3 linked regions of the Stegostoma tigrinum genome follow. The main gene of each other region encodes a partner of the protein of the gene in region 3 in a complex. Links are inferred from orthologs where the notes say so. Each region holds a gene or a part of one and is shown on either strand. Other genes may lie near its edges.

What was found.
Region 1: cpsf2 (region 3) and cpsf4 share a complex: the UniProt entries of both Homo sapiens proteins name them as parts of the cleavage and polyadenylation specificity factor (CPSF) complex. The link is inferred for Stegostoma tigrinum from reciprocal best matches to the Homo sapiens genes CPSF2 and CPSF4.
Region 2: cpsf2 (region 3) and cpsf3 share a complex: the UniProt entries of both Homo sapiens proteins name them as parts of the cleavage and polyadenylation specificity factor (CPSF) complex. The link is inferred for Stegostoma tigrinum from reciprocal best matches to the Homo sapiens genes CPSF2 and CPSF3.

Annotation. Positions count from the first base shown.
Region 1 is NC_081376.1:10,069,879-10,079,995, forward strand, and holds the start of cpsf4 (cleavage and polyadenylation specificity factor subunit 4), read left to right. Parts: upstream 1-5,463; 5' UTR 5,464-5,483; coding exon 5,484-5,724; intron 5,725-10,117. UniProt on the Homo sapiens protein: Component of the cleavage and polyadenylation specificity factor (CPSF) complex that play a key role in pre-mRNA 3'-end formation, recognizing the AAUAAA signal sequence and interacting with poly(A) polymerase and other factors to bring about cleavage and poly(A) addition.
Region 2 is NC_081357.1:115,213,249-115,223,646, reverse strand, and holds the start of cpsf3 (cleavage and polyadenylation specificity factor subunit 3), read right to left. Parts: upstream 4,805-10,398; 5' UTR 4,749-4,804; coding exon 4,678-4,748; intron 3,745-4,677; coding exon 3,681-3,744; intron 3,288-3,680; exon of another isoform or gene 3,287-3,287; coding exon 3,189-3,286; intron 251-3,188; coding exon 122-250; intron 1-121. UniProt on the Homo sapiens protein: Component of the cleavage and polyadenylation specificity factor (CPSF) complex that plays a key role in pre-mRNA 3'-end formation, recognizing the AAUAAA signal sequence and interacting with poly(A) polymerase and other factors to bring about cleavage and poly(A) addition.
Region 3 is NC_081363.1:27,962,252-27,971,640, forward strand, and holds the start of cpsf2 (cleavage and polyadenylation specificity factor subunit 2), read right to left. Parts: upstream 4,165-9,389; 5' UTR 4,029-4,164; intron 1,618-4,028; 5' UTR 1,591-1,617; coding exon 1,442-1,590; intron 1-1,441. UniProt on the Homo sapiens protein: Component of the cleavage and polyadenylation specificity factor (CPSF) complex that play a key role in pre-mRNA 3'-end formation, recognizing the AAUAAA signal sequence and interacting with poly(A) polymerase and other factors to bring about cleavage and poly(A) addition.

The sequences.
Region 1 (10,117 bases), on a different chromosome or scaffold from region 3:
ATTTACTCCTTTCCACCTCTTACACTTTACTGGCCCTCCTTAAATACTATTCATTTCAAACACTTTTTTGGGCAAAGAAGTTTCTTTTGAATTCCCCACTGCATTTCTCAAAGACTATCTTTACTGATAGCCTATAGTTACACCGTTCACAAAAAGTGTAAACATTTTACGTGTTCGCCCTTATCAAAACCTCTCATATGTTTAAACATGTCACCCCCAACCTTTTTATTTTCATGTAAGATCTATCCTTTTAAACTTTTTCTGACACATACATCCAGACATTTCTGGTATGATTCCCATAAATCTTCTTTGCACTGTCTCCAGTGGGTCTTTGCTTTAGGATTGCTCTTGCTGTGTTCGTATAAAGTCTGCAATCATCTAACCTTTAGGATAACAGCAAGCAGTAGACAACCCTATATAATATATAAAGGAGAAGGCCATTTAGGAGGTAGGAAGGCAGTTTGCTGTGAAGAAAGTTTCTAAGATTACATAGAGATCAAGATCAAATGTGAGGAGCAGATGTAGTTTAATTTGGATAAATGTGAAGTATTGTATTTTGGTAATACAAATTTGGGCAGGACTTATACAATTAATGGTAGGGCACGGGTAGTGTTGTAGAACAAAGAGACGTCGGGTTTCAAGTACATAATTCTTTGAAATATGCGTCACAGGTAGACAGGGTGGTTCAGACTTGCCTTCATTGCTTAGAGGAGTTGGAACATCATGTTGAAGTTATACAGGGCAGTGGATAGGCCTCTTCTGGAGTACTGTATGAAGTTCTGGTCTCTGTGCTCTAGGAAGGATATTATTAAACTGGAGACAGTTCAGAAAAGATTTACCAGGATGTTGCTGGGACTGGAGAGTTTGACATATAAATATAGACTGGAAAGGATGAGACTTTTTTCACTGGAGCATAAGAGGTTGAGGGATGACCTTACAGAGGTTTATAAAATCATGAGGAGCATAGGTAAGGTGAATAACAAAGGTCTTTTCCCCAGGGTGGAGGGGTTCAAAACTAGGGGCATACTTTTAAGGTGGGAGGAGAAAGATTTAAAAAGGATATGGGGGCAATTTTCTTTTTTGCAGAATGTGGTTTGTGTGTGGAATGAACTGCCAGAGAAAGTAGGAGATGCAGGTACAGAAAGGTTGAGAGGGATATGGGCCAAGTGTGAGGCTATAGTGTAAAAACATGGTTGGCATGGACTGATTGGACCGACAGGTCTGTTTTCATGCTGTGTGACTCTTTGGTGTGATAATGTCATGGAACTATGTAATCTAAAACTCCCAATGAATGTTCTGGGCATGTGTGTTCATATTCCACCATGGCAGATGATGAAATTTAACAAAAACAATATCCTAAGGATGGAGATCTGAAATAAAAACAAAGTACCGCAGGAATACAGCAGATCTGACAGACAAATGTGGCATGAGTAATTGAGTAACCGAAGAGGGCTGGCCCGTGACTTGTTTTAATGCTATTTGACAAAGGGGAGGCAGAGTGAGCGAAACGATGGTGAGGATGCAAATAGCAACAAAGCGTGTAAATGTTAAAAGAAAAGGATCTAGATCCTTCCTTTACTGCCTTCAGTCCTTCATGTTCCCAAACGTCTCACCTTCACCACTATGAAAACGCCCTTTGTCGTTGGAGTGGGCAATCTCACCATCTGTTTCATCCTCTCCTTTGTCTGTAGCATAAAGCCATCATTTTTATGGCCACCCTCAGTTCCAAACAAGATTCTTTGCACAATATTAACTCCACGCCTCAATCTCGGCTCCCCATGCTGTAACTGGATCCTTGACGTCCTGACCCATAAACTGCAATCAATAAGAACAGGTGACGACACCTCCTCCACCGTAATCCTCAACACCAGCCCCTTAAGGTTGTGTACTCAGTACCCTACTATTCTTCTCATACACTCACAGCTGTGTGGCCAAATTGGAACCCAACACTATAAGTTTGCTGACAACACCATCATTGTAGGTCAGGTCTCAAACAATCATGACACAGAATACAGCAAAGAGATTGGGTGCTTAGCCTCACAGTGTAAGTACAGCAATCTCTCCATCAATGTCAGCAAAACAGAGGAGCTGAGCATTGACTTCAGGAAGCGGAGTGGAGGGCACACTGCTGTCTGCATCATTGTACTGAGGTGTAGATGGTCAAGAACATCAGACTCCTGGGAGTGACGATCACCAACAATATTTCCTAGTTCATCCACATCAACACGACGGTCAGGAAAGCACAGCACCATCGCTACTTCCTCAGGAGGCTAAGGAATTTCAGTGTGGCTAATAAGGACTCTTATCAATTTTGACAGATGCATCATACAAAGCATCCAATCTGGATGTATCACCGCATGGCATTGCAACAGCTTTTCCCAAGACCACAAAAAACTACAGAGAGTTGTGAACATTGCTCAATTCATCACTCAAACCAGAAGACAAAGAAGTTTAAACATGCATACAAATATATTCAAGAAAAGCTTCTTCCCCACAATTATCAGGCTTTTGAACAAACCTCTTTAAGGTTAATTCCGATCTCTTTGTGCACCTTCTCTGCAGCTGTAACACTGTATCGTGTACTTTGTTCTGCTATCCTGATGCACCTTGTATGGTACAATATGTCTGTACAGCACGCAAAGCAACACTTTTCACTGTATTTCAGTACATGTGACAACAATAAATCAATCAATTTCCCAAACACTGCCAGACCTGCTAAGCTTCTCCAGCACTTTCTACATTGACATAGTCAGTATGTGCAGAGAACTAGTGGTTAAATATAATAGCACAGGATGAGATACCCACCATACATCATCCCTAGAGCAGAGAACCTAAACCCACTTGAGAATTTTAATAAACATTTCTCCTCGAAACCGAACCTTTCCAGTTGTCCCCATGTGCTTCCGGTCGGGAGAGTCCCCGCCCACAAATGTCGCCATTGGCCAAAATACAGAGACTGGAGACGCGAATGGGCCATTCTCGCCAAGAAGCCTCAATGTGATTGGTCGTAATCAATGTCAATCAGTGGGAGGCTCGCTCCAAGACCAGTGCAATAGAGTATCGAGCAAGCGAACTAACCCCCCCCCCCCCCACAGACTTCAATGCCTGGAGTCTGCTTTAGAAATACCATTTATAAAACACAACAGCATATGTCATGGAGTGTGTGCAAAGGTAAGACTGCATATTAGGAAGGCAGCTTTCCCACATTCTATTCCTTGGAATTCCCATCAAATCCCTTTTGTTTGACCAAGTTTATGGGTTCCCCATTGCTTCTTCTGCAGTTGCATGTGCCTCATATCTGGTTGGTAAAAGCGTTATATACATGTAATTTATTGCTAAGTTGTTTGGCAACATTATTCCCACTGCAACAAATAGCATATATTTACACAGGGTATTTTGTTATGGCATAGAACCTAAACACAGGCCTGTATCCTATGAGGAAATGTGGCGTTCTGATATAAGGTACCTGTCCCAGCTTCAGTCTGTCTGTACAAAAGGTTCAGTATCATATCTTTAGTTAGTCAGCTCTGTGTAACTGGTTAGTGTTGTAAATAACCTTTAGATATCTATCTCAAAAGGAGCCTAAGTCTATTGTAATGTGGGCGAATATATAAAGAAACCCACAAAGCACATCATGATGGTGGTAAATGGGTATTAAAAGCTAGTGGTGAAGGTGAGTTAGTTGCACTAAGTGGATGCTAAAGGCCTGAAAAGATTATAGTAACGTAACAATTCTGAAACGTCTTTTACCTGACAGTATTCCATCAATCTGACTGAGATTAGAGCTGAAGTTGCAACTACAATCAAGACTAGAGTAATAGGTGTAAAATTAATGTCTACAACCTGTAATGAAGTGTAGTGAGTACTCTGCTCTTTAAAACAAACTGGTATAAGGTGCTCGACACTCCAATATTTAAAACAAAACATCAATTTACCAGAAGCCCAGGACAGCTCTGATTTTTAAAAATATGCAATTTAAAAATGTGGAAGGACAGCCTTCCTGATCGAAGAAATTAATTTTGTAACAAAGTACAGAAAAATGTTACAGGACCTGTGTTCTAATACCAGGCAGTTCCACTATTTTCCTGAAACAGCATGAGAATAACAAATAACCATTATCACTACTACATTTTTTTGTGCAGAGGCCACTTACAAGCACGAGCTTGCATCTTTAAAAGGGGGTAACATTTAAAAATAGAGAAAAGAGGAAACAAGCTAACAACAGCACTACAGATCTTCATACTGGCATTTTAGAGAGCATTAGGCTACAAAAAGAAAATACAAAAATTTCACCATAGACTAGCAATCCACTGACTTTGTCAGAAATTCACTTGTGTAAAGAATCAAATATTTACTTTATGGATCAGTGGATAACTGACAAAGAACAACAGGCCGCCAAATCTTTCCTTGCGTTGGACACTGAAGGGATAAGAAGAATAAAATGCTTTGGCACTTCAATGGCGACTTCAAAGATTCTAATGGAATGTACAAGGATGCATAGAGATATATTATGATATCTATATATTCAATAATGCCTTGGTGGACATGTAACACAGTTATCACAAATGTTAACTCTAAACTACATGCAACTATTCTGAGAGTCTGGGTTCTGTGCTTACTTATGTTACTGGACATTTCTTACATGTAGTTAACTGACTGAAGGCATGACACTGCCTTCATTAAACAAATAGAGTCTGAAGGGGAGATGGCTACCTTTCAATTGTAAGGCACAAATATATTGAAAATTAATCAGAATTACCTGTAAAGTGCTTGAATATAAAGCAAGGGATACCGATAATTGTAGACCTGCTATTAAGATGAGACACACGAAGCAGAAAGAGGAGAATCACACTTTTAAAAGTATATGTGAGATAGAGAATAGCTGAGTGACGGAGAAGGAAGCATTTCTGGCAAATCACTCAGGTAGCAGCAGCCCAGGAGCCTGTGAGAAGAAAACTGTGTGTGTTGACACTGAAGTAGGTGAGCGGGGGGGGGGGGGGTGTCATTATTCCACCCTTAACAACAAATGGCTTCTTACTCCAGATCCCAGCAGTCCCGCTCTGAATGAAAGTGGGAAGCTGGATGACCACAGCAGGCCAAGCAGCATCTCAGAGCACAAAAGCTTTTGTGCTCCTGAGATGCTGCTTGGCCTGCTGTGTTCATCCAGCTTCACACTTTGTTATCTTAGATTCTCCAGCATCTGCAGTTCCCATTATTTCTGAATTAAAGTGCAATGTGTTAGAGTCTGAAGGCCAAATATTTCCAAGATGATAACATGACCTACACATCAAACACACTTCATTAGCTGTAGATGGATTTGGAACCGCTTGAGGTGGTGAAAGGTGCTAGGCAAATGCAAACCCTGACAATCCACGGGGGCTACAAAGTGAAGACGAGGAGACGCTCGCTGTTCAGTATAGGAACGGCTGCCCGCTCCTCCAGTACAGTCGGGGGCGCTGTGACTGGCGACGGGTCGCCTCTTGATGCGGCGGCCGGCTCGTTGTTTGGAGCAGGGGGCTGAGCGGATACCGTACCCGGTGCTCGGGCCTCCCGTCCGGAATCCGGCGCTGGTTGTAGTAGTAGTTGTTGTGAAGCCTCGGGCCCGGCTCAGGTGGCGGGAGGATGCAGGAGCTCATTTCAATGTGGAGCACATCAGGTTCGAGCTGGAGATCGCGGTGGAGCAGCAGCTGGGGGCGCAGCCTCTCCCGTTCCCCGGAATGGACAGTGAGTGCGGGGGGAGCGGGACCTCTCACATACTGCACCCCCCCCCCCACTCACCAAACCCCCCCACTCACCAACCCCCCACTCACCAATCCCCCCCCACTCACCAACCCCCCCCCACTCACCAACCCCCCCCCACTCACCAACCCCCCCCACTCACCAATCCCACCCCCCCACTCACCAACCCCCCCCCCACTCACCAACCCCCCCCCCCACTCACCAACCCCCCCCACTCACCAATCCCCCCCCACTCACCAACCCCCCCCCCACTCACCAAACCCCCCCCCCACTCACCAACCCCCCCCACTCACCAATCCCCCCCCCCACTCACCAACCCCCCCACTCACCAACCCCCCCACTCACCAACCCCCCCCCCACTCACCAATCCCCCCCACTCACCAATCCCCCCCCCACTCACCACCCCCCCCCACTCACCAATCCCCCCCCCACTCACCACCCCCCCCCACTCACCAACCCCCCCCCCACTCACCAACCCCCCCCCCCCCACTCACCCAACCCCCCCCACTCACCAACCCCCCCCCACTCGCCAACCACCCCCCCCCACTCGCCAACCCCCCCCCCACTCGCCAACCCCCCCCCCCTCGCCAACCCCCCCCCCCACTCGCCAACCCCCCCCCCACTCGCCAACCCCCCCCACTCGCCAACCCCCCCCACTCGCCAACCCCCCCCATTCACCAACCCCCCCTCCCCCCATTCACCAACCCCCCCTCCCCCCATTCACCAACCCCCCCATTCACCAACACCCCTCTCACCCCATTCACCAACAACCCCTCCACCCATCCCTCCTCCCCCCCCATCCCTCCTCCCCCCCCATCCCTCCTCCCCCCCCATCCCTCCTCCCCCCCCCCATCCCTCCTCCCCCCCCATCCTCCTCCCCCCCCCATCCCTCCTCCCCCCCCCATCCCTCCTCCCCCCCCCATCCCTCCCCTCCCCGATCCCCTCCCCGATCCCCTCCCCGATCCCCTCCCCGATCCCCTCCCCGATCCCCTCCCCGATCCCTCCCCGATTTCCCCCATCCCCTCCCCCATCCCCTCCCCCATCCCCTCCCCATCCCCTCCCCCATCCCCTCCCCCATCCCCTCCCCGATTTCCCTCCCCCCATCCCCTCCCCGATTTCCCTCCCCCCATCCCCTCCCCCCATCCCCTCCCCGATTTCTTTCCCCCTCCCCTCCCCGATTTCCCCCCCTCCCCTCCCCGATTTCCCCCCCTCCCTCCCCGATTTCCCCCCTCCCTCCCCGATTTCCCCCCCACAATTTCCCCCCCATCCCTCCCCGATTTCCCCCCCTCCCCTCCCCGATTTCCCCCCCTCCCCTCCCCGATTTCCCCCCCCACAATTTCCCCCCATCCCCTCCCCGATTTCCCCCCCACCCCCTCCCCGATTTCCCCCCCCACCCCCTCCCCGATTTCCCCCCCCACAATTTCCCCCCCATCCCCTCCCCGATTCCCCCCCCATCCCCTCCCGATTCCCCCCCCCATCCCCTCCCCGATTCCCCCCCCATCCCCTCCCCGATTTCCCCCCCTCCCCTCCCCGATTTCCCCCCCTCCCCTCCCCGATTTCCCCCCTCCCCTCCCCGATTTCCCCCCCCACAATTTCCCCCCCATCCCCTCCCCGATTTCCCCCCCACAATTTCCCCCCCATCCCCTCCCCGATTCCCCCCCCATCCCCTCCCCGATTTCCCCCCCCATCCCCTCCCCGATTCCCCCCCCCATCCCCTCCCCGATTCCCCCCCCATCCCTCCCCGATTTCCCCCCCCTCCCCTCCCCGATTTCCCCCCCCATCCCCTCCCCGATTTCCCCCCCCCATCCCCTCCCCGATTTCCCCCCCCATCCCCTCCCCGATTTCCCCCCCCCATGCCCTCCCCGATTTCCCCCCCCATGCCCTCCCGATTTCCCCCCCCCATGCCCTCCCCGATTTCCCCCCCCCATGCCCTCCCCGATTTTCCCCCCCCATGCCCTCCCCGATTTTCCCCCCCCCATGCCCTCCCCGATTTTCCCCCCCCCATGCCCTCCCCGATTTTCCCCCCCCATGCCCTCCCCGATTTTCCCCCCCCATGCCCTCCCCGATTTCACCCCCCATGCCCTCCCGATTTCCCCCCCCCCATGCCCTCCCCGATTTTTCCCCCCCCCATGCCCTCCCCGATTTTCCCCCCCCATGCCCTCCCCGATTTTCCCCCCCCATGCCCTCCCCGATTTTCCCCCCCCATGCCCTCCCCGATTTTCCCCCCCATGCCCTCCCCGATTTTCCCCCCCATCCCCTCCCGATTTCCCCCCCCCCGATTTCCCCCCCCCATGCGCTCCCCGATTTTCCCCCCCATGCCCTCCCCGATTTTCCCCCCCATCCCCTCCCCGATTTCCCCCCCCGATTTTCCCCCCCATCCCCTCCCCGATTTTCTCCCCATCCCCTCCCCCCTCCCCCTCCCCCTCCCCCTCCCCCTCCCCCTCCCCGCTCCCCCTCCCCCCTCCCCCCTCCCCCATCCCCCTCCCCCCTCCCCCATCCCCATCCCCCTCTCCCCCATCCCCCTCTCCCCCATCCCCCTCACCCCCATCCCCCTCTCCCCCATCCCCCTCTCCCCCATCCCCCTCTCCCCCCCACTCTCCCCCCCCCCACTCTCCCCCCCCACTCTCCCCCCCCCACTCTCCCCCCCACTCTCCCCCCCCACTCTCCCCCCCCCACTCTCCCCCCCCCACTCTCCACCCCCCCCCACTCTCCCCCCCCCCACTCTCCCCCCCCCCACTCTCCCCCCCCCACTCTCCCCCCCCACTCTCCCCCCCCCACTCTCCCCCCCCCCACTCTCCCCCCCCCCACTCTCCCCCCCCCCACTCTCCCCCCCCCCCCACTCTCCCCCCCCCCACTCTCCCCCCCCCCACTCTCCCCCCCCCCACTCTCCCCCCCCCCACTCTCCCCCCCCCACTCTCCCCCCCCACTCTCCCCCCCCCACTCTCCCCCCCCACTCTCCCCCCCCCACTCTCTCCCCCCCCACTCTCTCCCCCCCACTCTCTCCCCCCCACTCTCTCCCCCCCACTCTCCCCCCCACTCTCCCCCCCCACTCTCCCCCCCCACTCTCCCCCCCCACTCTCCCCCCCCACTCTCCCCCCCCACTCTCCCCCCCCTCTCCCCCCCCCCAACCCTCCCCCATCCCCCCCCTGCCATTGCCCCCACTCTCCCCCATCCCCCCACTCTCCCCCCCACTCTCCCCCCCACTCTCCCCCCCACTCTCCCCCCCACTCTCCCCCCCACTCTCCCCCCCACTCTCCCCCCCATCCCCCCCACTCTCCCCCCCATCCCCCCCCTTCCCCCCCACTCTCCCCCCCCTTCCCCCCCACTCTCCCCCCCCCATCCCCCCCACTCTCCCTCCCCCATCCCCCCCACTCTCTCCCCATCCCCCCCACTCTCTCCCCCATCCCCCCCCACTCTCCCCCCATCCCCCCCCACTCTCCCCCCATCCCCCCCCACTCTCCCCCCATCCCCCCCCACTCTCCCCCCATCCCCCCCATCCCCCCCCCACTCTCTCCCCCCATCCCCCCCCCACTCTCTCCCCCCATCCCCCCCCCACTCTCTCCCCCATCCCCCCCCCACTCTCTCCCCCCATCCCCCCCCCACTCTCTCCCCCACTCTCCCCCCCCCACTCTCTCCCCCCCCCACTCTCCCCCCCCCCCCACTCTCCCCCCCCCCACTCTCCCTCCCCACTCCCCCCCCCCCCACTTCCCCCCCCCCCACTTCCCCCCCCCACTTCCCCCCCCCCCCACTTCCCCCCCCCCACTTCTCCCCCCCCCACTTCCCCCCCCCCCACTTCCCCCCCCGCACTCTCCCCCCCCGCACTCTCCCCCCCCCGCACTCTCCCCCCCCGCACTCTCCCCCCCCCGCACTCTCCCCCCCCGCACTCTCCCCCCCCCACTTCCCCCCCCCACTTCCCCCCCCCCACTTCCCCCCCCCCCACTTCCCCCCCCCCCACTTCCCCCCTCCCCACTTCCCCCCCCGCACTCTCCCCCCCGCACTCTCCCCCCCCGCACTCTCCCCCCCCCCGCACTCTCCCCCCCCCGCACTCTCCCCCCCCCCGCACTCTCCCCCCCCCCGCACTCTCCCCCCCCCCGCACTCTCTCCCCCCCCGCACTCTCCCCCCCCCCGCACTCTCCCCCCCCCCCGCACTCTCCCCCCCCCCGCACTCTCCCCCCCCCGCACTCTCCCCCCCCCCGCACTCTCCCCCCCCGCACTCTCCCCCCCCGCACTCTCCCCCCCCGCACTCTCCCCCCCCGCACTCTCCCCCCCCCCACTTCCCCCCCCCACTTCCCCCCCCCACTTCCCCCCCCACTTCCCCCCCCCACTTCCCCCCCCCGCACTCTCCCCCCCCGCACTTCCCCCCCCCGCACTCTCCCCC
Region 2 (10,398 bases), on a different chromosome or scaffold from region 3:
TGTAAAGTAGTCCTTATTTCAGGAATTATTGGCAATCTGCCAGCAATGACAGCTGAAAATTCAATACTAAAAAGGATAGAGTAGAGAATATTAAATCCAAAAGACAGAAGCTTCCACTCACCTGACCTTGACATAATCAGACAGCAGCCAGCGATATATAGCTTTTGTTGCATGAGTCATAAAAGTTCTGCCTTTAAAACTAGTCTTTTGTAGGAACCATGGAAGTGCACCACAGTGATCTAAATGGAAACTGTTAATAATCAAATTAAACAGAAAAATTATACATATGCAAAGGCAGCCTCATGCTTTTGCTTGGAGAAAATATTGCTGCAAATCATTGGTCAATTAACAAAAGGTACATCTGAGTTCACATTATTCACATCATTAATATTTCCAAAAATATACTAAAATACTTTTAGAGGGATAGAGTTCTCAGATCAACACAGTTTAAAAGGCAAACAGAATGGACAAAAGTATTGGGCTGGAAAAGATAAACTCGTGTACCTAGCCTGTCCCACCCATACTGCTGAAATTTTTTGAGCACATATCTGCAGCTACACAGGCAAGTAGCTCAAAAGCTGAGGCCAGTTGTGGGGAAGATCTGGAAAATAATGTGACCCTTTTAGGCAATGGAAAGGATAGCACACTGATTCTGAGTTACAGTATAAAGTCTCCATCTTGTACAGTGTGATCACCATCCTCGCCTGAAACAAATCAATGTTTACCCTGAAAGAACACAGTGGAGCAGTTTTCACCACACAATGCTGCTAACAGGCCCATTGCAACTAAATTTGATGGTGAAATGAAACTGAAGGTCACGTTAAGTTGTGTGGATGATGGAAGGAAGCTACAAAAGGGACACAGTGTAAGGTAGCAGATAAAACTGCCGAGTTCAGTTTGGGAAGTGAGAGATGATCTAGTTGGACCTGACACACAATTTTGGAAAATACAAGACAGTAAAAATTGCTAAGGAGTGCATGATCCAGATGCTCTCAAAGTTAGTATCCAGGCACAAAAAGAAATCAACAATGCCAATTGCCATGATCTCAAGGGGTTTGCACATTAAGGTGAAAAGATAACACAGTGGTTACAGACTATGCGGCATACGTTATTCAGTTTTGAAAACTAAACCTCAAGAAGGACATTATTGATTTTAGAGGTAATATAGTGCAGACTCACCAGAATGGGATCACGGTTTCAATCTTAAATTATCATGATCGGATACATTAGCATAGCTGTAATTTTCAGAGTTCAGAAGGGCGAGGATTGATATAATCAATGTTTTGTTTTATGTTTTATGGAAATCATTTGTGTAAATGCAGAGAAACCAGTATTGGGAAAATATACAACAGCAGAGCATAATCTTAAACTTGCCATTTAGGTAAGATCATAAAATATAAAAGCAGAATTAGGCCACTTAGCCCATCAAGACTTCTTCATCGTTTGATCATGGCTGATACGTTCCTCAACGCCATCCTCCCGGCTTCTCCCCATAACCCTTGAACCCCATATCCATCAAGAACCTGTCTATCTCTGTCTTAAATACACTCCATGACTAGGGCTTTATAGCCCTCTGCAACAATGAATTCCACAGATTAACCAACTTTTGATTGACGAAGTTCCTCCTCATCTCAGTTCTTAAGGGCTGCTCTTCATTCTGAGGCTGTGCCCTCAGGTCCTAGTCTCTCCCACTAATGAAAAAGTCTTCTCCCTATCCAGTCTAGCCAGGTGTCTCTGTAGGTTTCAGTGAGATCCCTGCTCACCCTTCTAAACTGCATAGAGTACAAACCCAGAATCCTCATGACAAGCTCAACATCACCGGGATCATTTTTGTAAACTGCCTCTGGTTCTCCTCCAATGCCAGTACATCTTTCCTTAGATATGAAGCCTAAAACTGCTCACAATATTCCAAATGACCAGAGCCTTTATACAGCTTCCACAGTACATTTCTGCTCTTGTATTCTGTGAATGCTAAAATTACACCTTCCCTTCTGACTGCCAACTGAACCTGCATATCAACCTTAAGAGAAATCTGAACTAGGACTCCCAAATCCCTTTGTGCTTCAGATTTCTAATGGCATTCTGTTTAGAAAACAGACAGCATCTCTATTCTTCCTTTGAAAGTGCAAACCTCACATATTCCAACACTGTATTCCATGTACCACTTCTTTGCCCACTCTCCGAGCCAATCCAAATCCTTGTGCAGCCTCCCCACTTGCTCAACACTACCTATCCCTCCACTTGTGGGCCATCTGCAAATTTAGCAAAATTGCCCTCAGTTCCTTTGTCCACATTGTTAATGTATAACACGAATAATGTGCAGTCACAATGCTAATGCCACATGTTACCAGTTGCTGTCCTAAAACAAGACCTCTTAAACCCCACTACTCTGCTTTCTGCTCGTCAGCCAATCCTCCATCCATTCCAGAACCTTGCCCCTAACACCACAGGTTCTTAAATTATTTAGCAGCCCTCCATCCAGCACCATGTCAAAGGCTTTCTGGCTAAACAGATCACATCCACTGGGGCTCCTTTGATTTTATTGTTACCTCTTCACCAAAATTCTCATAGATTTGTCAGGCATGACCTCCTCTTGACGAACCCATGTTGACTCAGCCCCATTTTACCATGCATTTCCAAGTACTCCGCAATCTCATCCTTAATAATAGACTCTCAAATCTTACAGGGTAGGAGAAAATAGGAACCTGCTCCCCAGAAAAAATTGTGTATGTCAGTCAATTAAGATTGGAAAATTGACAGATGTTGCACAGGAAAGATACCAAAGTACGTGGAATAAAGACAAGCAAAGGAGTTGAGGTAAAGATCAGCAATAATGTAACTGAATAAGACAATAGGTTCATGGGACAGATGGGTTATTTCTATCCCTGTGTTCCTACAAACAATAATATAAGCCTTTTGTTTAAAATGTGTGAAAAGGAGAGCAGCATTTTGGTTATAGCAAAATCTTAACAAAACTAGCTCTCAAGTCCAAATGTCAATGATCTGTTTAACAATCTGATTATATATATTATTCCCATCTCAGTCAATGCAACAACTTTTTATTTGTCATCGAGAGTAACTCAACTAAATACAGCGATTGGGTCAATGAAAACAAGGTTCAAATGAAATCTCCTTTTGAAGCCATGTTGTAATTCCTTAATTCTAAAATAGAAAGCTGTAATACTTACTGACTAATAAGGAGAAGATCTATCTCCGCAGGGTCGATCAAATCAATGTATGGAAGTGCATCCATTCCTTCAAGTCCAGGGTGGATTCCACAATCCAACTGAATACGATAAAATTCAGGTGAAGGCGAATCAATAGGCCATCAAAATCAATTCTCAAAGCCGAGTTTAGCATGTTGTTAACGTGAGACCAGATAGACACATAACACCAATATAATCTAATACAAAACAAAGCTTCTTAATCGGATCACATTGCCACCAATTAACCTACAGTTTGAAGAAAGTTTGCAAGCCATATTTTTAATCAACATAGACATCATTAACAAATATGTGTATCAGTCAGTTTGCAAGAAATCAATTAAAAAATATTATATAAAACTGTAACAATTGTTTAATTTCTGCTAGCCAATCAATGATATTTACTGACAACAAAAACTGAAGTCAACTAGCAATCCTGAAGCCTACTGTACACATTTACAATTTATTAAATCATACCATGATTTTCCTTCCTTTGAACTCCACAATGATGCATGATCTTCCCACCTCTTGACCAGCTCCTCTATTAACAATTCATAAAAAAATTCTCAAACTTATGTGATGAAAAGCAATGTCTTCTACTGCATCAATTTGAAGAATTATGAATTTAAAAAAGTTGTCTGATGACTTTACAGGCCAGTGCATGAAGTACAAGCATGGATTTGGTCATCACACATACAAGGTTTAAAGTTTTAATTTGAAAGATAAATTCCTGCTGCAGAGATCTCTAACATCAGAGATAACTGAACATCAGTTGCATCCAATATGCAGTTTTCTCAAAAACAGCAGGCTTGTGTGTATTGGGAGAGATACAGGGGAGGGAAGGAAAACAGAGATGGGTGTACAGGAGAGGGCCGAGGGAGATGGGGAATATGTGGGAAGAAGCTGGGGGGGTGGGAAGAAGCGGGGGGGGGGAAAGAAGCGGGGGGGGGGGAAGAAGCGGGGGGGGGGGAAGAAGCGGGGGGGGGGGAAGAAGCGGGGGGGGGGGAAGAAGCGGGGGGGGGGGAAGAAGCGGGGGGGGGGGGAAGAAGCGGGGGGGGGGGGAAGAAGCGGGGGGGGGGGAAGAAGCGGGGGGGGGGAAGAAGCGGGGGGGGGGGGGAAGGGGGGGGGAAGAAGCGGGGGGGGGAAGAAGCGGGGGGGGGGGGAAGAAGCGGGGGGGGGGGAAGAAGCGGGGGGGGGGAAGAAGCGGGGGGGGGGAAGAAGCGGGGGGGGAAGAAGCCGGGGGGGGAAGAAGCGGGGGGGGGGAGAAGCGGGGGGGGGGAGAAGCGGGGGGAGAAGCGGGGGGTGGGGGGGGAGGGAAGAGGGGGTGGGGGGAGGGGAGGGGGGTGGGGGGAAGGGGTGGGGGGAAGGGGAGGGGGGGTGGGGGGAAGGGGAGGGGGGTGGGGGGTCGGGGTTGTTGGTGGGGGTCGGGGTGGTGTTGACGGTGTTAGGGGGTGGGGGTGGGGGTGGCACTCACAGCGGGCGGATCAGCAGCTGGTCGCTCTCCTCCGCCGGGACAAAAATCTCCGCTTTCCGCTTAGCCGCCATTGCCGGCCTGGGCACTTCCGGCCCGGCCCCAGTAAACCTCCGGCTGGAAACCGCCTCCACCCCTCACAGGCCGGGAGGTCGGGGGACACAACAAAGTGAAACACTCGAGTCTTGAGAGGGGTTTCATCACAAAGTGTCATATTGTGCACTGAGATAATCGTGTTATTTCTGTAAGAAACCGGGTAATTTGTCAGGTAATTCGTTTTGTTTTTGAAGGTTTTAATATATAGAACGTTTTATACATGTTAAAATCGATGTGTTTTTTTGAGATTCAAATCGTTGGGCATGTTATATGTTGGTGCTCGTCAGCAGTGACTCTCTTTTATAATTAAACTCTTGGTTCCACTTAACCTTTAATGCAGGCCATTCAGTGATGTGATGTCTTAAAGGTAAATGTAATGAAGTACTAAACTGACTGGCTGTACTTAAGGGATGATCTGCACTAGGATCAGAGCAGGTACATCCAAGGATATTGAGGGAAGTGAATGGCGGTCTCCTTAGATACCAGGGTGTTGCCAGACGACTGAAGAATCCTAAGTGCTACATCCTTGTTCGAACCAGAGTGTGCAATATACCTAGTAATCACAAACTGGTTGATTTAACTTCAGTGGTGTTGAAGGTCTTCACGGAATATGGTGTGGATAGAGTCCATTCGGCCCTTTGAGTCTGCCCCAACCCTCCAAAAAGCATCCCATCCATACCTACTCTGCCCCGCCGACCCTAACACCGCATTTATGATGGCTAATCCACCTGCCTACACAATCCCCATGCAGACACGGGTGGAAAGTATAAAACCCACATAGACAGTCACCAGAGGTTGAGTCAACACTTGGTCCCTGGTGCTCTGAGGCACTGTGCTAACCACTGAGCCACTCTTAGGAATAGTAACTGAGGGCACAATTAGCACCACTTGACAAATGTTGATGAGTCAGGGAAAACCACCATGGATTTCTTTAAGAGTAGCAAATGGTAGTCTAAAGAAAGGTAATTAACGTAACCGCACTGCTTAAGGGAAAAGAAGGGAGAGAGAAAGCAGGGAATTATAGATCAGTTAACTCAATGTAGATGGTTAGGAAAATGTTTGAGTCCACTATAAAAGATTTAATGGGAGGGCATTTTAGAAAACAGTGACAGGATTGGACAGAGTCAGTATAGATTTATAAAAGGGAAAGCATGCTTGACAAATCTACCGGAATTTTTTGAATTGATAAGGGGGAGCCAGTGGATATGGTTTACTTGGGCTTTCAGAAGGCTTTTGATAAGGTCATAGAGTCAGAGAAGCCATACAACATGGAAACAGACCCTTCTGTTCAACTCATCCACGTCAACCAAATGTCCTAAATAAATCTGGTCCGTTTCTCTCTCAACCCTTTCTAATCAGGTACCCTTCCAGATGCCTTTTAAATGTGTATTTGTACCAGCCTCCACCACCTTTGGCAGCTCATTCCACACACGTAGCGCCATGAAAAAGTTGCGCCTTAGGTCCATTTTAAATCTTTCCGCTCTAACTTTAAACTCCTCTAGTTTTAGACTCCCTTACCTGGGGAAAAGACCTTGGTTATTCACCTTATCCATGCCCCTCATGATTTTATAAACCCCTATAAGGTCACTCCTCAACCTCCAACACTTCAGGGAAAATTGTCCCAGCCTATTCAGCCTCTCCCTAAAACTCAGACACTCCAATCCCGTCAATGTTTTTCTAAATCTTTTCTGCACCCTTTCTTGTTGTTCAATGGTGGGAATCATGGTCCGTGGGAAATAGAGGGAGAGTGAGTGCTGGCAGTCAGCCTCAGCAAGAAAGAGATCAGTACACCAGACAACAGCACAACCCTTGTTGGCAAAGGTTTGATCTGAGAGCATGGAGTGCACTCAGTTCAGAGGGAGATCGGTTCAAATGCGTGAGCGGGGCAGGGGAAAAAAATTAGGGTGACCAATGTGATATTGATAGTTCTCAGTGAACAAATTGTTCACGGTTAAGGAAAGGAGGGAGGGGTCCAGGTAGAGGGAGAATAGAATTTTGAGAAGATTTGTAGCTCAGGTTGAGGTTCTGGATGTGAGTTTGCTTGCTGAGCTGGAAGGTTAGTTTTCAGACGTTTCATCACCTTTTTTTTATTTGAAAAAATATACTTTATTCATAAGATGCACAAAAAATAAAACATATTTATACACCTACCCAGTCATGCAAGCTGCTCCGGGTTACCCAGGGGGTACGTACACCAACTAAAGGAAAAAAAAACAAACAAAGAAGAAAAAAAAACAAAGCAAAGAAAATACCCCGGCAGTCGTCACTCCGCACAGTCCCAGTTGGCCCCCTGACCAGTTGGGGAAGGCGCCAGCTGGGCCCAGTTACCAGATAGGGCCCTTTTTTCTATTCTGGATGAGGGGTTTCATACCGTGGTCTTTCCCCACCGTGCCTTGGCGGCGGCTGCCCCAAGCTTCAGCGCGTCCCTCAGCATGTAGTCCTGGACCTTGGAGTGCGCCAGTCTGCAACACTCGGTCGGGGTCAGTTCTTTCAGCTGGCAGACCAGCAAGTTGCGGGCAGACCAAAGAGCGTCTTTCACTGCATTGATGGTCCTCCAGGCGCAGTTGATGTTGGTCTCGGTGTGCGTCCCAGGAAACAGCCCGTAGAGCACGGAGTCCCGCGTCACGGACCTGCTCGGGACGAACCTCGACAAATACCACTGCATCCCCCTCCAGACCTCCTGCGCATAGGCACACTCCAGAAGGAGGTGATCGACAGTCTCGTTCTCCCCCCGCAGCCACCTCGAGGGCAGTGTGCGGTGGCGCAGAGATTCCGGGCATGCATAAAGGATCTCACTGGCAGAGCCCCTCTCACCGCCAGCCAAGCAATGTCCTTGTGCTTGTTTGAAAGTTCTGGCGATGAGGCATTCTGCCAAACGACTTTGGCAGTCTGCGTGGGGAACCACACGACGGGATCCACCCTCTCCTTTTCCCGAAGGGTCTCAAGGATACTACGTGCTGACCACTGCCTGACGGCCTTGTGGTCAAAGGTGTTTCCCTTCAAAAACTTCTCCACGAAGGACAGGTGGTACAGGACGGTCCAACTACTCGGAGCGTTCCGCAGCAACGAGGCCAGGCCCATCCTTCGCAACACCGGGGACAGGTAGAACCTCAGTAAGTAGTGACACTTGGTGTTTGTGTACTGAGGATCTACGCACAGCTTGATGCAGCCGCACACCGAGGTAGCCATCAGGGCGAGGGTGGCGTTCAGTACGCCCTTTCCCCCATTTTCCAGGTCTTTGTACATGGTGTCCCTGCGGACCCAGTCCATCCTCGACCCCCAAATGAAGTGGAAGATGGCCCAGGTGACCGCAGCGGCGCAGGTCCAGGGAATAGGCCAGGCCTGCGCCACATACAACAGTACCGACAGCCCCTCGCACCTGACAACCAGGTTCTTACCCGCGATGGAGAGGGACCAGAGCATCCACCTGCCCAGCTTCTGCTTCAATTTGGTGATACACTCCTCCCAAGTCTCAGTGCACGGCCCAGCTCCACCGAACCAAACACCCAGCACCTTCAGGTAGTCTGTCCTGACGGTGAAGGGGATGAAGGAGCGGTCGTCCCAGTTCCCGAAGAACATGACCTCGCTCTTACCCCTATTGACTTTGGCACCCGAGGCCAGTTCAAACTGGCCGCAGATGTCCAACAGCCTACTCACCGACTGACGATCGGTGCAGAAGACGGCGACGTCGTCCATGTACAGGGAGGTCTTGACCTGAAGGCCTCCGTTGCCTGGGATAGTCACGCCCTTCAGGCTCACGTCCTTCCTGATGGATGGGGCGAAGGGCTCCACACAGAACACGAACAAGGCAGGAGAGAGCAGGCAGCCCTGCCTGACTCCAGATCTGATGGGAAAACTGTCCGATTCCCACCCGTTGATCGAGACTGTGCTAACGATGTTGGTGTAGAGCAGCCGGATCCAATTGCGGATGCCCTCCCCGAACGAGGACGTCTCTCATGTAAGCGTGAGAGAACCTGTCGAAGGCCTTCTCCTAGTCCAGGCTGACGAGGCAGGTGTCCACTCGCCTGTCCTGTACGTAGGCAGTTGTATCCCTGATGAGCGCGAGGCTCTCAGCGATCTTCCTGCCTGGCACAGCACAGGTTTGGTCAGGGTGAATCACCGACTCCAGGACAGACGTGACCCGGTTGGCTATGACCTTGGCCAGGATTTTGTAGTCCATGTTCAATAGTGAAATGGGACGCCAATTCTTAATTTCTTCCCTCTCCCCCTTCCTCATGGACTTGCACATTTCCCCTGCCTGAAGCGCACTATCGTACACCTCCAGCAGGTCCTGGCCGACCAGGTCCCACAGAGCGGAATACAGCTCGACCGGTAAGCCGTCACTCCCGGGAGTCTTATTCCTCTCCAAGGACTTGAGGGCTCTGGTCAGCTCATCCAGGGATATCGGCCAGTCCAGCCACTCCCTCGTGCTGTCGTCTAAGACCTCCGTGATAGACGACAGGAACGACTCGGAGGCTGTGCTGTCCGTGGGCTTCATGTCGTACAGTCCGGCATAGAAGGATCTGCTGATCCTCAAAATGTCGGGCCGAGACGACGTCACCGAGCCGTCGTCCTCCTTCAGCCGGCTAAGCACAGAGCTCTCTTTGTGCACCCTCTGAAAGAAGAAACGCGAGCACGTCTCGTCCTGCTCCATGGAGCGGACCCTGGACCGGAAGATTATCCTGGAGGCCTCCATGGTGAAGAGCGAGGCTTGCTGGCCCCTCACCTTGCGGAGGTCCTCCGTGACATCGACCCCCATCAACTGCAGAAGGAGCAGGTTCTGCACCCTTTTCTGGAGTTGCGACAGCTTTCCCCGCCTCTCTCTTGCCTTCCGAACACCCTTGAGGACAAAGAACCTCTTGATGTTCTCCTTCACCGTCTCCCACCAGTCGCCCGGAGACTCGAAGAGGGGTTTCAGGGTTCTCCAACCGGCGTACTCCCTCTTAAGCTCCTCGACGTTCTCTGGGATAAACAGAGTCGTGTTGAGCTTCCATGTCCCCTTGCCGGCCGGCTGGTCGTCCTGTAAGTGACAGTCGGCCAGCAGGAGGCAGTGGTCAGATAAGAACACCGGCTCGACGCCGGTGGACCTGACTGAGAACGTCCATGACACAAACAGGAAGTCTATCCTTGAGCGAATAGACCCGTCAGGCTGCAACCAGGTGTACCTCCGCTGCACTCCGTCTGCAGGGGTGCTGAAGACGTCGAGCAGCTTGGCGTCCTTCACCGTCCCCATCAGGAATCTGGACGTGACATCCAGTTGACTCCCCCCACCCGCTGTCCCCACGCCGGATCTTCCATCTGGATCGATGATGCAGTTGAAGTCTCCGCCTAGGATGACCGGCCTGGACGTAGCCAGCAGGGGTGGAAGCCGCTGCAGGACGGCCAACCGCTCACTCCATACCGCTGGGGCGTACACGTTGATCAGCCTCAGGGTAGCATTCCTGTAGGTGACGTCAGCCACTAGGAGGCGTCCCCCCACCACCTCCTGAACTTGAGAGATGGTGAAGTTGCGCCCCCGCAGCAGAATAGCCAGGCCCGAGGATCGACAGTCATTACCCCCCGACCAGATTGAAGGCCCACAGGTCCAGGCGCTGGACCATTTCCCGTACCTGCTGAGGTGCGGTATCC
Region 3 (9,389 bases):
CAAACTGAGCAAGGGCAAGACTTAAATAGTTAATGGTAGAGCCCTGGGCAGTGCTGTCAAACAGAGAGACCTAGGGGTTCAGGTACAAAGTTCTTTGAAAGTCACAGATAGATGGGGTACTTAAGAAGACATGCGTGCCTCATTGCTTAGACCATGGAATAGAGGAGCTGGGACATCATTTTGCAGCTGTCTAGGACATTGGTAAGGCCACTTTTGGAGTACGGTGTACAGTTCTGGTCACCCTGCTCCAGGGAGTTTATAATTAAATTGGAAAGGGATCAAAGAGATTGAGAAGGACATTGTTAGGACTGGAGGGTTTGCGTTTTAGGGACAGACTTGGAATTCTTTCATTGCAGTGTAGGAGGCTGTAGGATGACCTTACAGAGGTCTGTAAAATCATGAAGGTCACAGATAAGGAGAATAGCAGAAGTTTTTTTCCCTAGGATAGGGTTGTTCAAAACTAGAGGACATATTTTTAAGATCAGAGGAGAAAGATTTAAAAAGGGATCTGAGGGGCAACATTTCACACACAGGGTGGTTCGCATGTGGAATGAACTGCCAGAAGAAGTTGTAGATGCATGTAGTTACAACATTTAGAAGATATTTGCACAGATAGAAGAATAGGAAAGGTTTGGATGGATATGGGCCAAACACAGGCAAGTAGGACTACTTTAGTTTGGGAAACTTGGTTGGCATGGATGAGTTGGACCAAAGGTTCTGTTTCGGTGAGGTTTGACTATGACTCGAAATTAGAATCAGTAAAATGCAACTTCAAAACTGATGGAAGAAGAAAAATATTTTCTTGACAGTTACAAATATTTTTAACATAGTAATGAAAATATTGATTTTATTGTTAGTGTAGCTAGATGGAGCTTTTAATAAACAAAGCAGATATTTTCAATTATCCAAATGATATTTTCATTGACTTCTCGTAAGCGCAATAACCTCTAAAAGTAACTACGTTTGAAAAATAGATAAAAATTTGAATCAGTCTCATACACTCTAATGGCAAGTTACCTACAGAGGTTCAAGATTTCAGGTTGCACTTGAAAGTGGATATCTGGATAAGGTGTCAATGAATAAATAAATAAAAAGATCCAAGAAGCCTCTCATCTTCCACCTTTTGTGAACTTGAGTTTTTCCAAAATCCTGCCACATCTATTTTGACACATGTTGTTATGCTCTCCCATTACCACTTTGTGCCATTTTTGGTGAACTTAATCCAGTAAATTTAGAATATGACTCTATAGGTCCAAGAGTCTGAAAGCCTCACTCATCCACAACTCTATAAATTCCTCCATTCCTACAATCCTTCAGGAACTTTGCACTCTTCCAAATATTACCTATTATAAATCTCTGGTTTCTTACAGCCCAGCATTTTGGACCCTGTTTTCAAATATTTCACATTCAATTAAGTCATTATAAATAACAGTTTGCTTACTTTTTCAGTGCATCAATTATGTCCATGGAGAAGCTTTCATCCCAGCCGCAATCAAGCAAAAAGCGGAACTCATCCACCTGTAGCATATAGCACAGGGCTGATTCCTCCTGGACTCCAGAAATGGTGGTCAGTTTGATGATAGATGTCATTGTTGATTTTCAAATAAACAATCACCTCTGGTAAAATGGAAAAAATAATTAACACACACATAATTTATACAGCCATTAAATAGAAGTAAATAAGAATCTTTAGATATCAATGCATAAAAAGATCATACCGGATATACGGTTCAGAAATAATCAATGCAGTGCAACCAATTCCATATGCTACTCATGCCTTCTTCCTTATCTAAATACATCATAACCCTTTGCTTGCTTCGCCCACGTGTGCTCATCTAGCACACCAATAAATCTACACTATGTGCTTCAACCAATAACTAAAATTTGAAACAATTTATTCTTAATTAAATTGAGTCCGGCCCAAAGATCTTTGAGATTCAGTGATAAATAGTTTAACAGTTTGGTGTGATGCACAAAGGCTTGCCACTCTTAAAGAGTATTGAAGAAGTGTAGCTCGTAAATTTCGTCTGTCTTCATTTCTTCTATCTTCTTGAAAGATTCAAAAACAATCAAATTTTCTGGAGGAGCTGTGTGAAATTAAGCCCGAACAGACATATCAGGTGCAAAAGTCAGTAAAAGAGGAGTACAGGGAACTGTGGTTACTGCTGTGTCAAGTTGCTAGAACTGTTCCATTCCAAGGAAACTTACATGGGCCATTATCCATTCCTTTATATCTACCCTACAATGACTTGCCCATCTTACATTCCAGATGTCATTTGGGTTCAACAATATTCCATGCTTTTGTATTCCACACCTCTAGTTTTAAAAAAATTGTTTTGCTTTCTTTCAGAAAGGATTTACTTGTGTTGTAACCTTTAGTGAACCAGCTACTCCACAGCGAAGCTCCAACACTCATCTGTTCAAATCTTACTATTTGAATCATGTCCCTACTTGCAAAATTTATCACTTCACATTTTTCTACACTGCACTGTTTCTGCCAGCTATTGGTGTCTATTCATCTCACTATTCAATGGCCATCTACAGACCTTCACAATTCCCTCTTTATTTGCCTGTGTCCCCTGCATTTTTGCCTTTTTCTTCGCTTTTGTGGTGCAGCGGTAGTATTGTTACCTCTGGACCAAATTCAAGTCCCACCTGCTCCTGGGGCATAACTGAACAGGTTGATTAAAAATGTCTATTTAGATATTCTTCCACAATTCATGTCAAGATCTTTAATATATACGGTAGATTTATGAAACTCCAATACAAACCAGATCTCTGATTTCAGGTCTAGACCCGAAATGTCAGTTTTCCTGCTCCTAATGCTACTTGGCCTGCTGTGTTCATCCAGCTCTACACCTTGTTATCTCAGATTCTCCAGCATCTGCAGTTCCTACTATCTCTATTAAACTCAATTATGATTTCTGTAAACATTACATAAAATAAATCACTTTATTGAATGTTAAACATTTCTCACTCTCTCAAAATTCCACCTTACCATATAATTTCTTAATTATTAATGTTAATACAAATTTGCTACTAGTAAGTGTAAGTGTGCCACATGGTCAGCAGAACTGACAATCCTAAATTTGTTGTTAGAATAATTATTTGCATATTCAAGAGTATTTGGCAAATGTTGTCAAATTTCAGCATCATATATAATGCCGGATAATGTGCTTTGAGTCTTGTAAACCTGTGTGAAACGCAGCCGATACAACTCAAATAATGGTAGATCATATCAAAAAGCATATCCTTTTACCTGCAGGTATTAAAACTATCCAATCAGCCCTCACCTTCAAAACACAATATTCCAGCTGTAGTCAGTGTCAAGGTTGACATTTATTACAACTTAACTTTTGTACCTAGATCACTTTACTCAAAATCAAAACTCAGTTGGATGTTTACAGTATCACCTATCAGAAGTGCTCCCTTTAACTAAAACTCACCCAAATTCCTCTAATCTTTCAAAGTAAATTAATTTTTGCCCAAATAAAATGAACCACCTACAATTCCTATCTGCCATTTTATCCATTTCCCTTAATAACTTTCGTTTGTCCTCTGATTTACTATGATTCTACTTTTGTACTCTGTTGAGTCAAATGCTAATCCTCTAAAATATCCTGCATGGGCCTTATTCTTATATAACATATCCATCGTGTGTGTTGTAGGCACCCTACACCTCCTGAAAGTATATCAAGCACAAGTCCTTATTTCTGAAATCTGTACTGTGTCCTCCTAAATTAGTTTTAGTCGAACGTACTTCCGAGATATAGCAGTTGCTCTCTGTTGTGTTTTTATGTCACCCTTGTCTTTTTCCTTTTCATATTTGTCACAATGAATCCCAAAAAGTTTCTGGATGGGGAACAAATCTGAACAAGAGCATGGAAATGGGTTCGATCCCAGGGGGGCCGGGGATGGGGGAGGAGACAGAGGGACGGTGGACTAAAAATCCACCTCCGCCTACTTCTGATAATTCCAGCGTTTAATCTCGAAAATGCGAGAGTTTCACAACTTAAAGAATAACATACCTGGTTAAAGTTAAGCGCTGAGGCCGATGCCCCGCGCCCTTTACGGGCCGGCCTGGATTTCTCCTTTCCTTCTCCTCAATACACGAGCCGGACTCCGGCTCCCGCTGCCCGGGCCGCCATCTTGTCTCCGCTACGTCAGCGGGTCAGAGGTGAATAGACTCTACCACCTCTCTCATTCCTCCCCATATTCCGGGTGTGACTGTATCCACCGCTTGCCCTGGTTGTAGAGAGGTGGCCGCTTAGGTGAAGGTGAGTGAGTGTAGACCCACCGGTTACAGGTTCAGCTCCTCTCAGGCGGAACGCCGACTACTCGAGACCCTGGCCCTCCGTCCCTCCTTCCTCCGGCCTAACCAGACTCGGTGTCCCACCACTTTCCTTACCGTTGTAAAGGTCAGAGTCGGGCCCGCTGTCTCTTAAACCCATCTGCATGCGGGCAATAAGTGAACGTTATATATTTCAAAACTTGTAGCAAGCACACACACAAAAGGTGCGGATAGGGAGGCACTTGAGTGGCTTCAAATCTTTGGATTGGGCAAATAGTCAATGCTGTATTCTTGCAGAAATTCTGGGAAAGACCAGGAGAAGAATTATGCAAATAATTAATGTTTGCATGTAGAAACCCGAGAAAAGAGTTGGGGCGGGGGAGTCACTTGCGTTTGTTTTTTAAAAAAAAGTTACTTATCGGAGTTTAGAAGAATGACAAGTAACCCGATTGAAACGTCGAAGATCCTTAGGGGGCTTGACAGGGTACAAAGAGTACAAGCAGGTTGTTTCCCCTGATGGGAGAGTCCAGGACCAGAGGGCATCATCCCCTGAGTAAGGAGACACCCATTTAAAGTGAGGCAATAGCCTAGTGGTATTATTGTTGGACCATCAATCTACAGACCCAAGTAACGTTCTGGGGATAATAAAATGTGAGGCTGGATGAACACAGCAGGCCAAGCAGCATCTCAGGAGCACAAAAGCTGACGTTTCGGGCCTAGACCCTTCATCAGAGAGGGGGATGGGGGGAGGGAACTGGAATAAATAGGGAGAGAGGGGGAGGCGGACCGAAGATGGAGAGTAAAGAAGATAGGTGGAGAGGGTGTAGGTGGGGAGGTAGGGAGGGGATAGGTCAGTCCAGGGAAGACGGACAGGTCAAGGAGGTGGGATGAGGTTAGTAGGTAGCTGGGGGTGCGGCTTGGGGTGGGAGGAAGGGATGGGTGAGAGGAAGAACCGGTTCGGGAGGCAGAGACAGGTTGGACTGGTTTTGGGATGCAGTGGGTGGGGGGGAAGAGCTGGGCTGGTTGTGTGGTGCAGTGGGGGGAGGGGATGAACTGGGCTGGTTGAGGGATGCAGTGGGGGAAGGGGAGATTTTGAAACTGGTGAAGTCCACATTGATACCATATGGCTGCAGGGTTCCCAGGCGGAATATGAGTTGCTGTTCCTGCAACCTTCGGGTGGCATCATTGTGGCAGTGCAGGAGGCCCATGATGGACATGTCATCAAGAGAATGGGAGGGGGAGTGGAAATGGTTTGCGACTGGGAGGTGCAGTTGTTTGTTGCGAACTGAGCGGAGGTGTTCTGCAAAGCGGTCCCCAAGCCTCCGCTTGGTTTCCCCAATGTAGAGAAAGCCGCACCGGGTACAGTGGATGCAGTATACCACATTGGCAGATGTGCAGGTGAACCTCTGCTTAATGTGGAATGTCATCTTGGGGCCTGGGATGGGGGTGAGGGAGGAGGTGTGGGGACAAGTGTAGCATTTCCTGCGGTTGCAGGGGAAGGTGCCGGGTGTGGTGGGGTTGGAGGGCAGTGTGGAGCGAACAAGGGAGTCACGGAGAGAGTGGTCTCTCCGGAAAGCAGACAGGGGTGGGGATGGAAAAATGTCTTGGGTGGTGGGGTCGAAACAACTGCACCTCCCAGTCGCAAACCATTTCCACTCCCCCTCCCATTCTCTTGATGACATGTCCATCATGGGCCTCCTGCACTGCCACAATGATGCCACCCGAAGGTTGCAGGAACAGCAACTCATATTCCGCCTGGGAACCCTGCAGCCATATGGTATCAATGTGGACTTCACCAGTTTCAAAATCTCCCCTTCCCCCACTGCATCCCTCAACCAGCCCAGTTCATCCCCTCCCCCCACTGCACCACACAACCAGCCCAGCTCTTCCCCCCCACCCACTGCATCCCAAAACCAGTCCAACCTGTCTCTGCCTCCCGAACCGGTTCTTCCTCTCACCCATCCCTTCCTCCCACCCCAAGCCGCACCCCCAGCTACCTACTAACCTCATCCCACCTCCTTGACCTGTCCGTCTTCCCTGGACTGACCTATCCCCTCCCTACCTCCCCACCTACACCCTCTCCACCTATCTTCTTTACTCTCCATCTTCGGTCCGCCTCCCCCTCTCTCCCTATTTATTCCAGTTCCCTCCCCCCATCCCCCTCTCTGATGAAGGGTCTAGGCCCGAAACGTCAGCTTTTGTGCTCCTGAGATGCTGCGTGGCCTGCTGTGTTCATCCAGCCTCACATTTTATTATCTTGGAATCTCCAGCATCTGCAGTTCCCATTATCTCTAACGTTCTGGGGACCTGGGTTTGAATCCTACCATGACAGCTGTTGGAATTGGAATTCAATAAATACCTGGAATTAAGAGGCTAATAATGACTATGAACCCGTTGTTGGAAAAATCCATCTGGTTTACTCATTCCTTTTAGGGGAAGTAACTGCCATCCTTACCTAGTCTGGCCTACATGTGACTCCAGACCAACAGCAATGTGGTTGACTCAGGGCAATTATGGAATAAATGCTGGCCTAGCTAGCCACACCCTCATCCTGTAAATGAATTTTAAAAATTTAAAAAGTGATGGGGATTTTTTTTTCCTCTGGGGATGATGAACCTGGAATTCTCTAACACAGAGCTGTCAAAGCTATGATAATGGGAACTGCAGATGCTGGAGAATCCAAGATAATAAAATGTGAGGCTGGATGAACACAGCAGGCCCAGCAGCATCTCAGGAGCACAAAAGCTGACATTTCGGGCCTAGACCCTTCATCAGAGAGGGGGATGGGGTGAGGATTCTGGAATAAATAGGGAGAGAGGGGGAGGCAGACCGAAGATGGAGAGAAAAGAAGATAAGTGGGGAGATAGGGAGGGGATAGGTCAGTCCAGGGAAGACGGACAGGTCAAGGAGGTGGGATGAGGTTAGTAGGTAGGAGATGGAGGTGCGGCTTGGGGTGGGAGGAAGGGATGGGTGAGAAGAACAACAGGTTAGGGAGGCAGAGACAGGTTGGACTGGTTTTGGGATGCAGTGGGTGGAGGGGAAGAGCTGGTTGTGTGGTGCAGTGGGGGGAGGGGACAAACCGGGCTGGTTTTGGGATGCAGTGGGGGAAGGGGAGATTTTGAAGCTGGTGAAGTCCACATTAATACCATTGGACTGCAGGGTTCCCAAGCGGAATATGAGTTGCTGTTCCTGCAACCTTCGGGTGGCATCATTGTGGCACTGCAGGAGGCCCATGATGGACGTGTCATATAAAGAATGGAAGGGGGAGTGAAAATGGTTTGCGACTGGGAGGTGCAGTTGTTTATTGCGAACCGAGCGGAGGTGTCCTACAAAGTGGTCCCCAAGCCTCCGCTTGGTTTCCCCAATGTAGAGGAAGCCACACCGGGTACAGTGGATGCAGTATACCACATTGGCAGATGTGCAGGTGAACCTCTGTTTAATGTGGAAAGTCATCTTGGGGCCTGGGATGGGGTGAGGGAGGAGGTGTGGGGGCAAGTGTAGCATTTCCTGTGGTTGCAGGGGAATGTGCCGGGTGTGGTGGGGTTGGAGGGCAGTGTGGAGCGAACAAGGGAGTCACGGAGAGAGTGGTCTCTCCAGAAAGCAGACAGGGGTGGGATGGAAAAATGTCTTGGGTGGTGGGGTCGGATTGTAGATGGCGGAAGTGTTGGAAAATGATGCATTGTATCCGGAGGTTGGTGGGGTGGTGTGTGAGAACGAGGGGGATCCTCTTTGGGCGGTTGTGGCGGGGGCAGGGTGTGAGGGATGTGTTACGGAAATGCGGGAGACGCGGTCAAGGGCATTCTTGACCACTGTGGGGGGAAAGTTGTGGTCCTTGAAGAACTTGGACATCTGGGATGTGCGGGAGTGGAATGCCTCATCGTGGGAGCAGATGCGGCGGAGGCGGAGGATTTGGGAATAGGGGATGAAATTTTTGCAGGAGGGTGGGTGGGAGGAGGTGTATTCTAGGTAGCTGTGGGAGTCGGTGGGCTTGAAATGGACATCAGTTACAAGCTGGTTGCCTGAAATGGAGACTGAGAGGTCCAGGAAGGTGAGGGATGTGCTGGAGATGGCCCAGGTGAACTGAAGGTTGGGGTGGAAAGTGTTGGTGAAGTGGATGAACTGTTCGACCTCCTCTGGGTAGCAAGAGGCGGCGCCGATACAGTCATCAATGTAACGGAGGAAGAGGTGGGGTTTGGGGCCTGTGTAGGTGCGGAAGAGGGACTGTTCCACTGTCAAAGCTGTGTTATTAAATAAATTCAGGCCTGAGATAGACATACAGGTTTTTAATCATTAAGGGAATCGAAAGTTGTGAGGATAAAGCAGGAAAGTGAAACTGCGGATTAATGGATCAGCCGTTAACTCATCAAATGGTAGTGTCGACTTCTCCTCCTACATCTTATGGCCACATAGGAATTGAAACTCTCTGCCCTTCCTTGGAAACACTTTCACCTAGCTGGTGTTTATCACCTTGTGTCTAGTATCCCTTTTTCCTTGATTCACCTAACTAATCTGATCTTGACTATTAGCAAAGTTTTGCCTCAACCACCACTCTCAGAAATTTCTCAGTTGTGGAAGTGTTTGTACAGAAGTTTTCCTTGGCTTCTTTTTGCCCTGAGCAATATTGATTCCTTAGCCAAAATCACTAAAAATGAGCACATATATCTTATCTCACTGCTGTTGGCACAGCATTGCTGTATGCACATTGGTTACATTGCCTAGAATTTGACAGTGACTATACTTCAGGATTTGTTTGGCTGTAAAATGCTTTCTGACATTCAAAGACAGTGAAGAGGTCGATATAAATAGTTCTTTCTTCAAATCTCTTGCAATTTATGCCGCCTTTTCTTGATATTAATTGAAGTAGTCAGCACTTATCGCGTAATGAGATCTGGTCTTATGGACGAAGTTGGTCTTTTTTTTCCTCTGTGTGCTTACTTTCTGAATGACAGACTGAGAGAGACTCAGTGCCTCTACCCGAGAAAGCAGGATGAGACGAAAACTAAAGCAGGAGAAACAAATAATTTAATGGGAAGATTGTAACGTTTTCAGAAAGATGGTTTTAATTTCAAACTTTTTGATTATTTAAGCCACTGATGAG